Drosophila melanogaster: one gene and its partner. The protein of the gene in region 2 purifies or fractionates together with the protein of the main gene of each other region. This does not show direct contact. Each region holds a gene or a part of one and is shown on either strand. Other genes may lie near its edges. The genes, in order: twi and Mef2.

What was found.
Region 1: the proteins of Mef2 (region 2) and twi purify together in Drosophila melanogaster (affinity purification with western blotting, with the first as the bait; one study listed by BioGRID). This does not show direct contact.

The regions. Positions count from the first base shown.
Region 1 is NT_033778.4:22,983,705-22,988,668, reverse strand, and holds the start of twi (twist), read right to left. Parts: upstream 3,296-4,964; 5' UTR 3,178-3,295; exon of another isoform or gene 3,140-3,177; coding exon of another isoform or gene 2,341-3,139; exon of another isoform or gene 2,120-2,340; intron 1-2,119. Other genes in the region: CG32833 (uncharacterized protein), read left to right, coding at 3,355-4,161; CG32834 (uncharacterized protein), read left to right, coding at 4,394-4,964. UniProt on the Drosophila melanogaster protein: Involved in the establishment and dorsoventral patterning of germ layers in the embryo.
Region 2 is NT_033778.4:9,926,374-9,931,403, forward strand, and holds the start of Mef2 (myocyte enhancer factor 2), read right to left. Parts: upstream 3,243-5,030; 5' UTR 2,527-3,242; intron 497-2,526; 5' UTR 114-496; intron 1-113. UniProt on the Drosophila melanogaster protein: Transcription factor that could be a key player in early mesoderm differentiation and may be required for subsequent cell fate specifications within the somatic and visceral/heart mesodermal layers.

The DNA of each region.
Region 1 (4,964 bases), about 13 Mb from region 2:
CGCGTCGTGGGGACAACATGTTTAATTAACGAACACAATGAAGGAGAGTCGCAACAACAGGAGTTTGTCACCGACTTTCGGTGAAATTTCTGACTCTCTGGTGACATTTGAAAAGTTTAAAATAATATAATTTTCGACGCTATATGGCAAACTAACAAGTTCGACCCGGAAGCTCAGCGATGGGCGCTGGCAACTGAGCGATGTGGGTATTTTCGGGGCGTTTGTCTTAGCTAACTTTCCGCCCGGGAAAGGAGAAACTTTTTCGGCTGCACTGTTGCACCCACCCACACACACACACCCATACACACTCTTACTCACACACACGAAGATCTATTGTAAAATATGTAAGAAAGTTTCCTTGGCCTGGGTGGGAAAACGCTGCGTTTTCGGGAAAGCAGCAGCAGCATCGACGTTGTCTTTGGGGAAATTAAACATTTTCTATTTGAAAACTTTGCCGTGTGTGGGGGGCGGGGGGTGTAACGGCATTTGAAGCGGTGGATTTTCCAAAGGTTCAAGAGCAACAGTTGCCTTTTGAACTGTTTCGGGTCGGTCACACTTTGGCACTGCGCTGGATTCCCTTTGTTCCACCCAACAATTGCGGAAGTCATAATTTCTCAGCCGGCCAAGTTTCTGGTTTTTTGACAAATTTAGCTGCAAATTGTCGGCAAAACTTTAGTTCCAGCTTAAAACTGGAATGGGTCTCCAGTCCCGTGCCTTCGGATCCAAATGTCAAGCGGCTTGCTGTCATAGGTGTTGCATATTTAATGCGCCGCCGCCGATGGCAACACACGCGGCACAGCAGCGCTGAGGAGCAGCTGCATCCCCAGCACGGCGATTCGGACAAGTGCACCCAGAGTGCATGCAAATATTTTTGTCAACGATTGTTTTGCCGGCTCCCTCGATTCCGAGTGGCGAGCTGTGACTGCGGGGGCGGGCGGGAAAAGTCCGGGAAAAGCGGGTCAGGGAAAAGGGAGCGAGGACGAGGACAGTGGTAACCCATGTTTTTGTTGTTGCCAACGGTTTGAGTAATTGTCGCTGGTGTGAAAATTGGCAACGATGCCATCGAGCTGGAAAAGGATTTACTGGGTTATGTATGAGCCAAAGGCTGATTGAGATGGAGGAGCAGCTGGATCGAGCTGGAAATGGCCATCGATGGACGTCTATGGCGTTAGCGATGTTGCCAAAACTGAAATATTCATTAGGCCAGCAAAAAAAACCAATTGAGGTCATTTGAAAAGTGGCCTTGCTTAGCAAATCTGTTGAATATTATAAAATGGTGAGAAAGGCACTTGCTTTTAACATAATTAATCCTTTTTTTTCAAGCATAACAGTTTAACAAAAGATCATGAATAGTACGCGAATATATCCCATTAACTAAATTAATTAAAGCCTCGTATAAAGCGAGCAAGCTTTCCTGATTTTGCGTAAATAAAATCAATTAAATAGAGCTAAAAAAAGCACACCCAAACAATATTTGACAAAAGAAAACGTAGATCCAGGGGCAAATTGAAAACACGATTCAGCCCGCCGAAAAAACCCAATAAAATGGTAATAAAAAACCCAGCAACCAAAAATGATTTTCACATTGATAAAAATTAAATGCGATTCGGGGCGAAAGCAATGCGATGTGTTGCATCTGCTGGGACATTATCAAATAATTCAGTTGTAATCCATTTTAATCCGCCTGCCTGGCTGCGAAACCGACCCACTTGACATGGCGAATCATCAAAATGTTTGTTTACTTGCCCCATGCCCCATGCCCCTTGCCCCTCGCCAGCTCTCTCCTGCCACTTTCCTCCATGAAAGTATTTATTTCGACATTTTGCTAAACATTGCCCAGATTTAAATCTGCATTCATGTAAAATTGCATAAATACATGCAAATATCGCTTGATGGAAATGTCCAGCTATATTTCAGTCACCCACGTTTTTTTTACTCTGCAGGAATTATTCAAATATTTAAGCGGCTTAGTGTAATGGCTGGTGAGTTTTGTCTCAAATCGGAGGACGGGTACAAAGCCGCTCTAAGCGAAAAGAATCGATGCGGCTGCTTAAATTATACTTTATAATTTGGGCATATATGTGGATTACCCCAATTGGCAATTGAACGTATAATAGTTCGGTTTTATATTCAATCGATTGCGCACAGGGCGTATTTATCATTCAAAATGTTTCAAATGCCAATATGGATTGTAATACATTGTAATACATATTCTTCTTACATTACAAAATAGATTCTTCGAAAGGTAGATAAGAAGAGTATTCCAAAGCTATTCCGTTTAATTAACAAAGAATCCCATAAAAAGAGGAGCACGCCCTTCACGAAAGTCAGTTAAAGAGAATGTTAGCCCCACTAATCCTCCTGCAGATTGTGGCTCTGCCTTGGTTGGCTCTCGGAGATCAGCGGATCATAAACGGAAACACTGTCAACATTAAGGATGCACCGTGGTATGCCTCCATCATAGTCAATTCGAAGCTCAAGTGCGGTGGTGCCATTATCTCGAAGAACTACATCCTGACTGCCGCCAAGTGTGTGGATGGCTACAGCGCCAGGAGCATACAAGTCAGGTTGGGAACCAGCAGCTGCGGCACTAGTGGATCAATTGCTGGAATCTGTAAGGTCAAAGTTCATAGCCAGTACTCCAGCTGGCGCTTTGACAATAACTTGGCTCTCTTGAAAACCTGCGAGCTACTCAACACCACCGATGAAATAAAGCCAATTGAGAGGGCCGACAAAGTGCCGGATGATAATTCTCGAGCCAATGTGACTGGCTGTGGTGGCAGATCAGGCAATTTCCTTGACCTTATCTTAGACTTAGAGGATTAGCAGCGGAATAGAAGAGAAGTGCTTCCAGCTGCCTGTCCAATTGCACGGCACTCAAGTGCGGATCCTTAGCCAAAAACAGTGCGCCGCCGACTGGAAAGTCATACCATTTTACTTACTCAAGGGAATCTCAGACCTGACCATCTGCACCAAGTCGCCGGGCAAGGGAGCCTGCTCCACAGACAGGGGTTCGCCTCTGGTCATCGACAACAAGCTCGTGGGCATCCTCTCCAGAGCGGGCTGCTCCATTAAGCCCGATGTCTATGCAAATATCCTGGGGCACACGAACTGGCTGGACTCGAATACGAAGGATTAATATCTTACTTGCTGTGAATAGTTTAATGATAATATTACCTTGCCTTCTGTAGATCTATATTTGAATTTGTAAAGCACAGAATAAAGAACATTGCACAATGGCTTAAAGTGAGAAAAATTTTAACACACCGTAAAGTAAAACAAATTAATTTGCTATGCTTTGTGCCAATACTATAAAATTTAAACAGCCTGCTATATGCACATTTATTTGGCATCATGCTTCTGCGATCTCTACCAATTTTCCTTGCACTCTTTGTCCTTTCCAAAAGTGACACGGGTGCAGGTGAAGATTCGGAAGAGGACGACGAAAACGACTGCAACCGGACGACTCTTGGTGGTCATCCCGTGAACATAACCACAGCGCCATGGATTGCTTCCATTTCGATCAAACAAAAGGCCAAGTGCGACGGAGCGATATACAAACTGAGTCACATTGTGACAGCCGGGAAATGTGTGGATGGATTCCTGAACAAGGTGATCCGTGTACGAGTGGGTAGCACTACGCGCAGCGATGGAGTCATCGAAGTAGCAGTCTGCAACATTACAGTTCACGAAAAGTTCACCGGCCAGACAGTATTTCACAATGTGGCCATATTAAAGTTGTGCGAACCGCTCGAGGCCTCCAAAACGATCCAGCCAATTCAGTTGGCCAACCAGCTTCCGTCTAATGGGGCAAAGGTCACGGCCAACGGGTGGCCCTCCTTCAGGTGGTGGGCAATGTATTGGAAGAAGTGTCTGGATGATGAAGCCTACAAGCTGCAGAAGGCCGAGGTGAAGCTACTTGGCCCTAGCCAGTGCACAGATCTGTGGGCGCGAAACAATTGGTCCAAAAAGAATTTTACAGATGACTTGTTCTGCACCGAGAAGTTCGCTAAGGAAGCCTGCTCTTTAGCGATGGGATCACCTGTGGTCCACAATGGCAAACTGGTCGGCATTATAACGAAAGGCGGCTGTTCGGAGTATCCAGAAGTCTATATCAATCTTATAAAGTACAAGGACTGGCTGCATAATCATACAAAGTAAACTTAAGCGTTCTCCCAATTAATTGTTAAAAAATACTTTGCCTTCGAGCTATGACTATGTGCAGATTAGTGCAAGTAATACGCAATACTTCCTATTTTGATAGAGCTTCGAAGTAAAGCCATCACTCAATTTGAGGTATGACTTTGCAGATAAGGAGCTCTAGCCTTGAAAACGACTTAACTTTTCCTATAAAAAGAGTCGCACATGCAGCTCTAAAAATCAGTTGTTTATAATGATTTGGAGTGTGTTCTTATTTCTGTTGGCTGCTCTTTTACGGCCGGTTCGTGGTGATCTGGATGCCCAAAGCCGCATCATTGGAGGTTATGATGTGGATATTGAAGATGCCCCGTACCAGGCGGAAGTAATAATAGATGGCACAGCAATATGCAGTGGGGCGATCATCACATCAGACACCATCATCACAGCAGCTTCGTGTGTCCAGTCCTACGGTTCAATTGAAGTACGCGTGGGCACCAGTTCCCGCGATTATGATGGAACTGGATTCCTGCTCGAAGTCTGTGAAATAATTAATCACCCGCAGTACAATTGCTGGCGTTTCGATAACAATCTGGCACTGTTGAAGTTGTGCGATCCGCTCAAGACCTCCGAAGCTATTCAGCCCATCAGCATAGCAGAGGATGAACCGGACGATGGTTCGTGGTGCACTGTCTCCGGCTGGGGATCCACCAGTTGGTGGGGCAGCTGGTGGGACAGGTGCTTCGGCAGTCTGCCGGACTATCTGCAGATGGCATGGGTCAGCGTCTACAATCGGGAGCAGTGCGCCGCGGATCGCGGTGTTTGGT
Region 2 (5,030 bases):
ATGAACTTGTCATAAAATCTACATTTCAATTCAAACTACCTCATATCTTATTAACATTTACATCTATTTTTAGTATATTATTTATATATTATAAAATATTATCCACAACTTACACACACTTTGTGAATACGACGCTCGTGGTAAATGCTAAAGGCAAATGATAAATGCTTTTGAGATAAAATGTGCCTGTTTGAAGCAAGTGAAATATCGGCAAACTTCGATTTCCAATATTTTTGCAAGCAATCGCATTGGCTCCGCGATATCTGGCTCTCTTCCTGCACCGCGTTTATCAACAATTTCGATTGCAGAAATGCCAGCAAAAGCAAAAGAATCCAAGGTTTTTGTTTTTCGCCCCGAAACACGCGTCTCATGTTAAGGTAGTCGAACAAATTTGAGTTCTCGGGCCCCGAGTCACCTAGAAGTACACCTAGAGCACTTCTATCTTATCGCCAGCACCTACACAGCCGCAAAAGCGGGCGGAGTGTGGGGGAGGGAGCTAAACCAAAACACAGGCGCAAACAGAAAGAAATCGTTATAATAATAATAATTATTATTATTTTTATTTTTATATACAATATATGTGGGGGAGCGCGGCGGCAATAACCATAATTATCACAGACACTCGAGAGCCGCAAACACGGCAAATGGCAAAGGAACATTTATTTTTTTAATAACTACACCAACACATCGACCAGATTGTGCTTCATTTGGCTTGTCAGTGAGCGTGGGCACCTTCACATGCGCACGTGTGATAAGAAAGACTCTCGCTCTCGATGGCAGATAGTGGCCGCAAAAAAAAAAAAACACGAGCAAATAAAACAAATTTTGATTTCGAATTTTTTATCAAGCACCGAAAACGCCAACAACAAACGTAACTCAACTATTTTTCGTTGAAAATTTGCCAACAAATTATTTTGACCTGATAAGATGTCGTTTGTGGGTTTTCCTTCATGGATTGTATTCTTTATTTTACTTGCAGTTTTTCAGAATCGTGTGTCATTTTTGAATTTCAAAACTAATTGAAAGGCATCCAAAAAAAAAAAACAGTTAAAACATTTATTTTTTCGCTTAACTTATGAAGCTTTAGGTATTGGAAATAACTAAATTGTTATAGAATGAGATAAATAATAATGAAATAATAAAGAAAATAAATAAATAATATTATAATTTCTCTATTGATGGAACACTTAAAATACAAAAAAGAAAATAAATAAATAATATTATAATTTCTCTATTGATGGAACACTTAAAATACAAACGCGACCCAAACGTGACTACACCAAATAGTGTTAAAGATCTCGGAGGTTAATGATGGTCGTGATGATGGTCCGAACGTGAACGTGATCGGAGGTGGGGTCCCGTTATCTAGGCTCTGCAATGCCGAATGACCGTAATCGTTTATCGGCGATCGCCGTGGCTAAGTCCACGGCAAATCTGCGGTGATTATCGCCTTCGAATGGCTTTGTTTGTTATTTGAACCCACTGCTCCCTGGATCGAAACGAAATTCCCCTACTCCCTTCCCACGCGACCCCCCTTATGATCCTGCGTAGGTGTCAAAGTGCATTGCACGCATGTCCAGCTGCCTGAGGCGAGATAAGAGAAAATATAATTCTCTGTGCATTTGCTGCTGGCTGAAACAAAGTGCAGACAATTATCAGCAAATTCGCCAATCAGCCAGCCAGCCAGCCAGCCAGTCAATCAGTCAGTTAGTCGGTTGGTCGGTCGGTCGGCCATAAAAACTACATGCAAAAGAACTTGATAGCAGGGAAATGGATTTGAACTTCGCCGGAGGAGTACGGTTCTCGCGGGCCCTCAATATTGATACGAAAATCGCTTATCAGTGGAACGTATATAGTATTTGTGTGTGCGTGTTCGCCCGTCCGAGTGTATGGCAGCTACTCTCAGCATTAAATCGCAAGAAAAGAAATTGAAACATCGAATGATATCAATTGAAAGGGAACTGTTTGAACTGGAATCAAGACAGCGAGGCACAATTCGAAAACCCGGCCGATATCTCTTTTTTTTTTCTTCGGAATCCCAACGTTTGGCTCAGCGATGACGTCAGTGTGCATGGGTAACTTGCTTATTTGGTTCCCGACATGCCGGCTGCCAGTGTTTTTGTAATTGTAAATTATATATAATCAAATTGCCCTATCGGCATATGAAAGGAGGGGTTTACAGCCCATCGATGATCTGTAAATAATTACTAAGCCTTTGGGCGGAATAATAGCTCAATGAGCAAAGGTGGATATGATAACCAAAATTAGGTTTTATAATTCATAATTTATAATTAATTTAACAATGTGTCTCAAAAGTATGACTAACCGAAAATCACTTATAATGTAATGAGGCATTCAATTGGATTTTATGACGCTCATAAATATAAGTCAAATGGTTATCACAAACAGGAAAAATTATTCTTAATACAAGAATGAAAATCTTTCTACCCATTTCGCAAAGGTACTTTGGTTTTAAAAACTAGTTTTCAAACCAAAAACATTCCTCATTGCAGTAGATAAACTTACATGAATCGCTTTTTAGCTGAGCTTCCGTTTTCTCGAAAAAATGTTCTCAAAAATACACTACTCAATAGAAACCGACGAGTTTTGAACTTTTCTGGGGATGTCAGGTCGCTGGCGAGGTGTTTGCACAAATGTTTCCGAGCACACACACGAAAATCTTTGCAATTGAGATGCAAATTGAATTATTGTTTGAATTCTGGCTTTGTTTACGCCGCTCGTTCGATAAACATCGGGGCGAAATGCAGTCAGTGATATGTTTGCTGTTGTGTTTGTCGTGTGCTTTAGCTTTTTGTAAATATAAACAAAGTCCGGGCAGGCGGGGGCGGGGATGTCGCGGCCGCGGTTGGCGCAAATAAAAGTTAAAAATAAAAACTTATAATTGTCCGACGGCTGTTGTTATTTTTATTATTGTTGCCATTTATTTTTGGAAATAGACGTTGAATTTGTTTATATGGAGTAAAAATAAATTATTGCGCGTAGTGCGAGAGCAGCGGGCCAGCATAATTTCTCGCGGCGTTCGATATAGGATCTCTATCTGTTGTGAATCGCTAGCGGAATCGGATCGTTGGATCGTTGGCTCGGAATGAAAATATCGAACTCGCAAACGGATCGCAAACTGATCTGCCGAAATCGAATCGAATCGAAATCTCAAAATCTCGAAATCCCGAAAACCGAAAAACTGAAGAAGCGGCGCTGCGGACGCGTACAAACGTACTGACGGATATGCCGTCGTTGACGTCGTAACGCCAAGTACGCACACACAGATACGCCCGCACACAGCTGCACTGCGCCAGGCTCTCTCGCAGTCGCACACTAACACACACACGCACAGCCAGCAACGAACACGTATACGTAGGCTGGCGGTGAGGATTTTCGTTTCGTGGTGAACTCACTCACACGCGCACACCTTCTAACGGTGCCTTTTGTTTTTGCCTTTTTGTGTAACAGAATATCGCACACATACATTGCCGGGCAATCGGAGAGCGGGAGAGACGGAGAGAGTGCGCAGCCGCTGACTTTGAGTTCCTACTCACAACGAAAGCAAGAGTGAGCGAGAGGTGGCGGGGGGTTAGAGTGTGGGGCTGGTGGGGGTGAGTGAGTAATTCGGTTTGTGAGTGAGTGCGTGCGGGAGTCGAACGAGAAACATATGGTTTTTGTTTGTGCCCCAGCCAGACACACACACACGCACACTCACCCACACACTTGATCAATCAGCAACAGTTACAGTTAGTTCCCTCGCCGAGCTTGTTGTCCCGCTCTGGCAACCTCCCATAAATGTTAATTATCCCCCACTTCACCACCCCCATTAACTACACCCCTGCTAAACATCGCTTTGGTTTCCGTTTTCCTTTGTATCCGTATCTCCCTGCCCTGCCAGGACCTCTCCCCTCCCGCTTTGCCCACTATCTGGTTTTTTTTTTGTGTGTATTTTATTTATTTGTCCTTGCCACTGGATCCTCTCTATAAACACCCACCCACCATTAGTTTTCCCCTTCGACGCAGCTTAATAAAAACTTTGTTGACCTGCGTTTGGCAGTAGAAAAAAAGGTAAGTATATACTCGATACCCTGTTACAAAAGATGGGGCATACTTACTGGCTGTGGTTACGCCTTTTAGAAACGCGAAGTATGATATAACTATCATTAAAATTAATTTCATTTTTAATAGGTTATATTAACTTTGGAATTGTGACAGCTGTTTAGCTTCTTAGCTCCGATGTGAACGTAAACTAGAATGTTGAACTTGATTCAGAAAAAATAAAGCGTAAATCCTTTTTTCATTTGTTACCTAATTTTGTGCGATACAACATACAACATATCCTGTAATTCGTCTGCTGGCGGGTACACAAAACAAACAGGAAGGAATCGGAAGGGACAAAGAGTAGGACCCGTAGGATCCTAGGGTGTGCGGCAACCAACGATTCATTGTTTCTGCTCGATTGATGATTGCCTATTCAGACAGAGGTAAAGTAGTTGTATGGCTGAAGTTGGGGCTTAATTTGTGAATCGGACCGCCAGCCAGCCAAGTGGGATCCAAAGCCCTGTGACCCAGACCCTGTCTATTGTTGCGTTAAGCGAGATATTATTTACCTTAAACACGCTCTATTATGCAGGTTATGTAGGCGAAAAGATAATAAAGTAGGGATACATGTACCCCAACTTGATCCCAATAGAGTTTATTACAAAAATCGACTTTTATAAAAGCAGGAAAATTGGGAACGTTGTATGTGATTAGTCCACATCTGGGAGGCAAATAAAAGCTGTGGCTACTTTCCAGCCATCTATAGTTCTAACCCATATAGGAAATGATTTTGCGTCTATTTATACATAATAAAAATATTTCCAATAGCGAGAATTTTAGTGATTAGCCATTACCATATGGCATTTAAATCAATAAGAAAATATATTAAAAGATTTTCTTGTTTACTGTAAGTTGCGATTTAATAACTGGAGTGATAGTTAAAACACAGACAAAAGGACATTAAGGGAGGTGAAATCTTAAGGAAT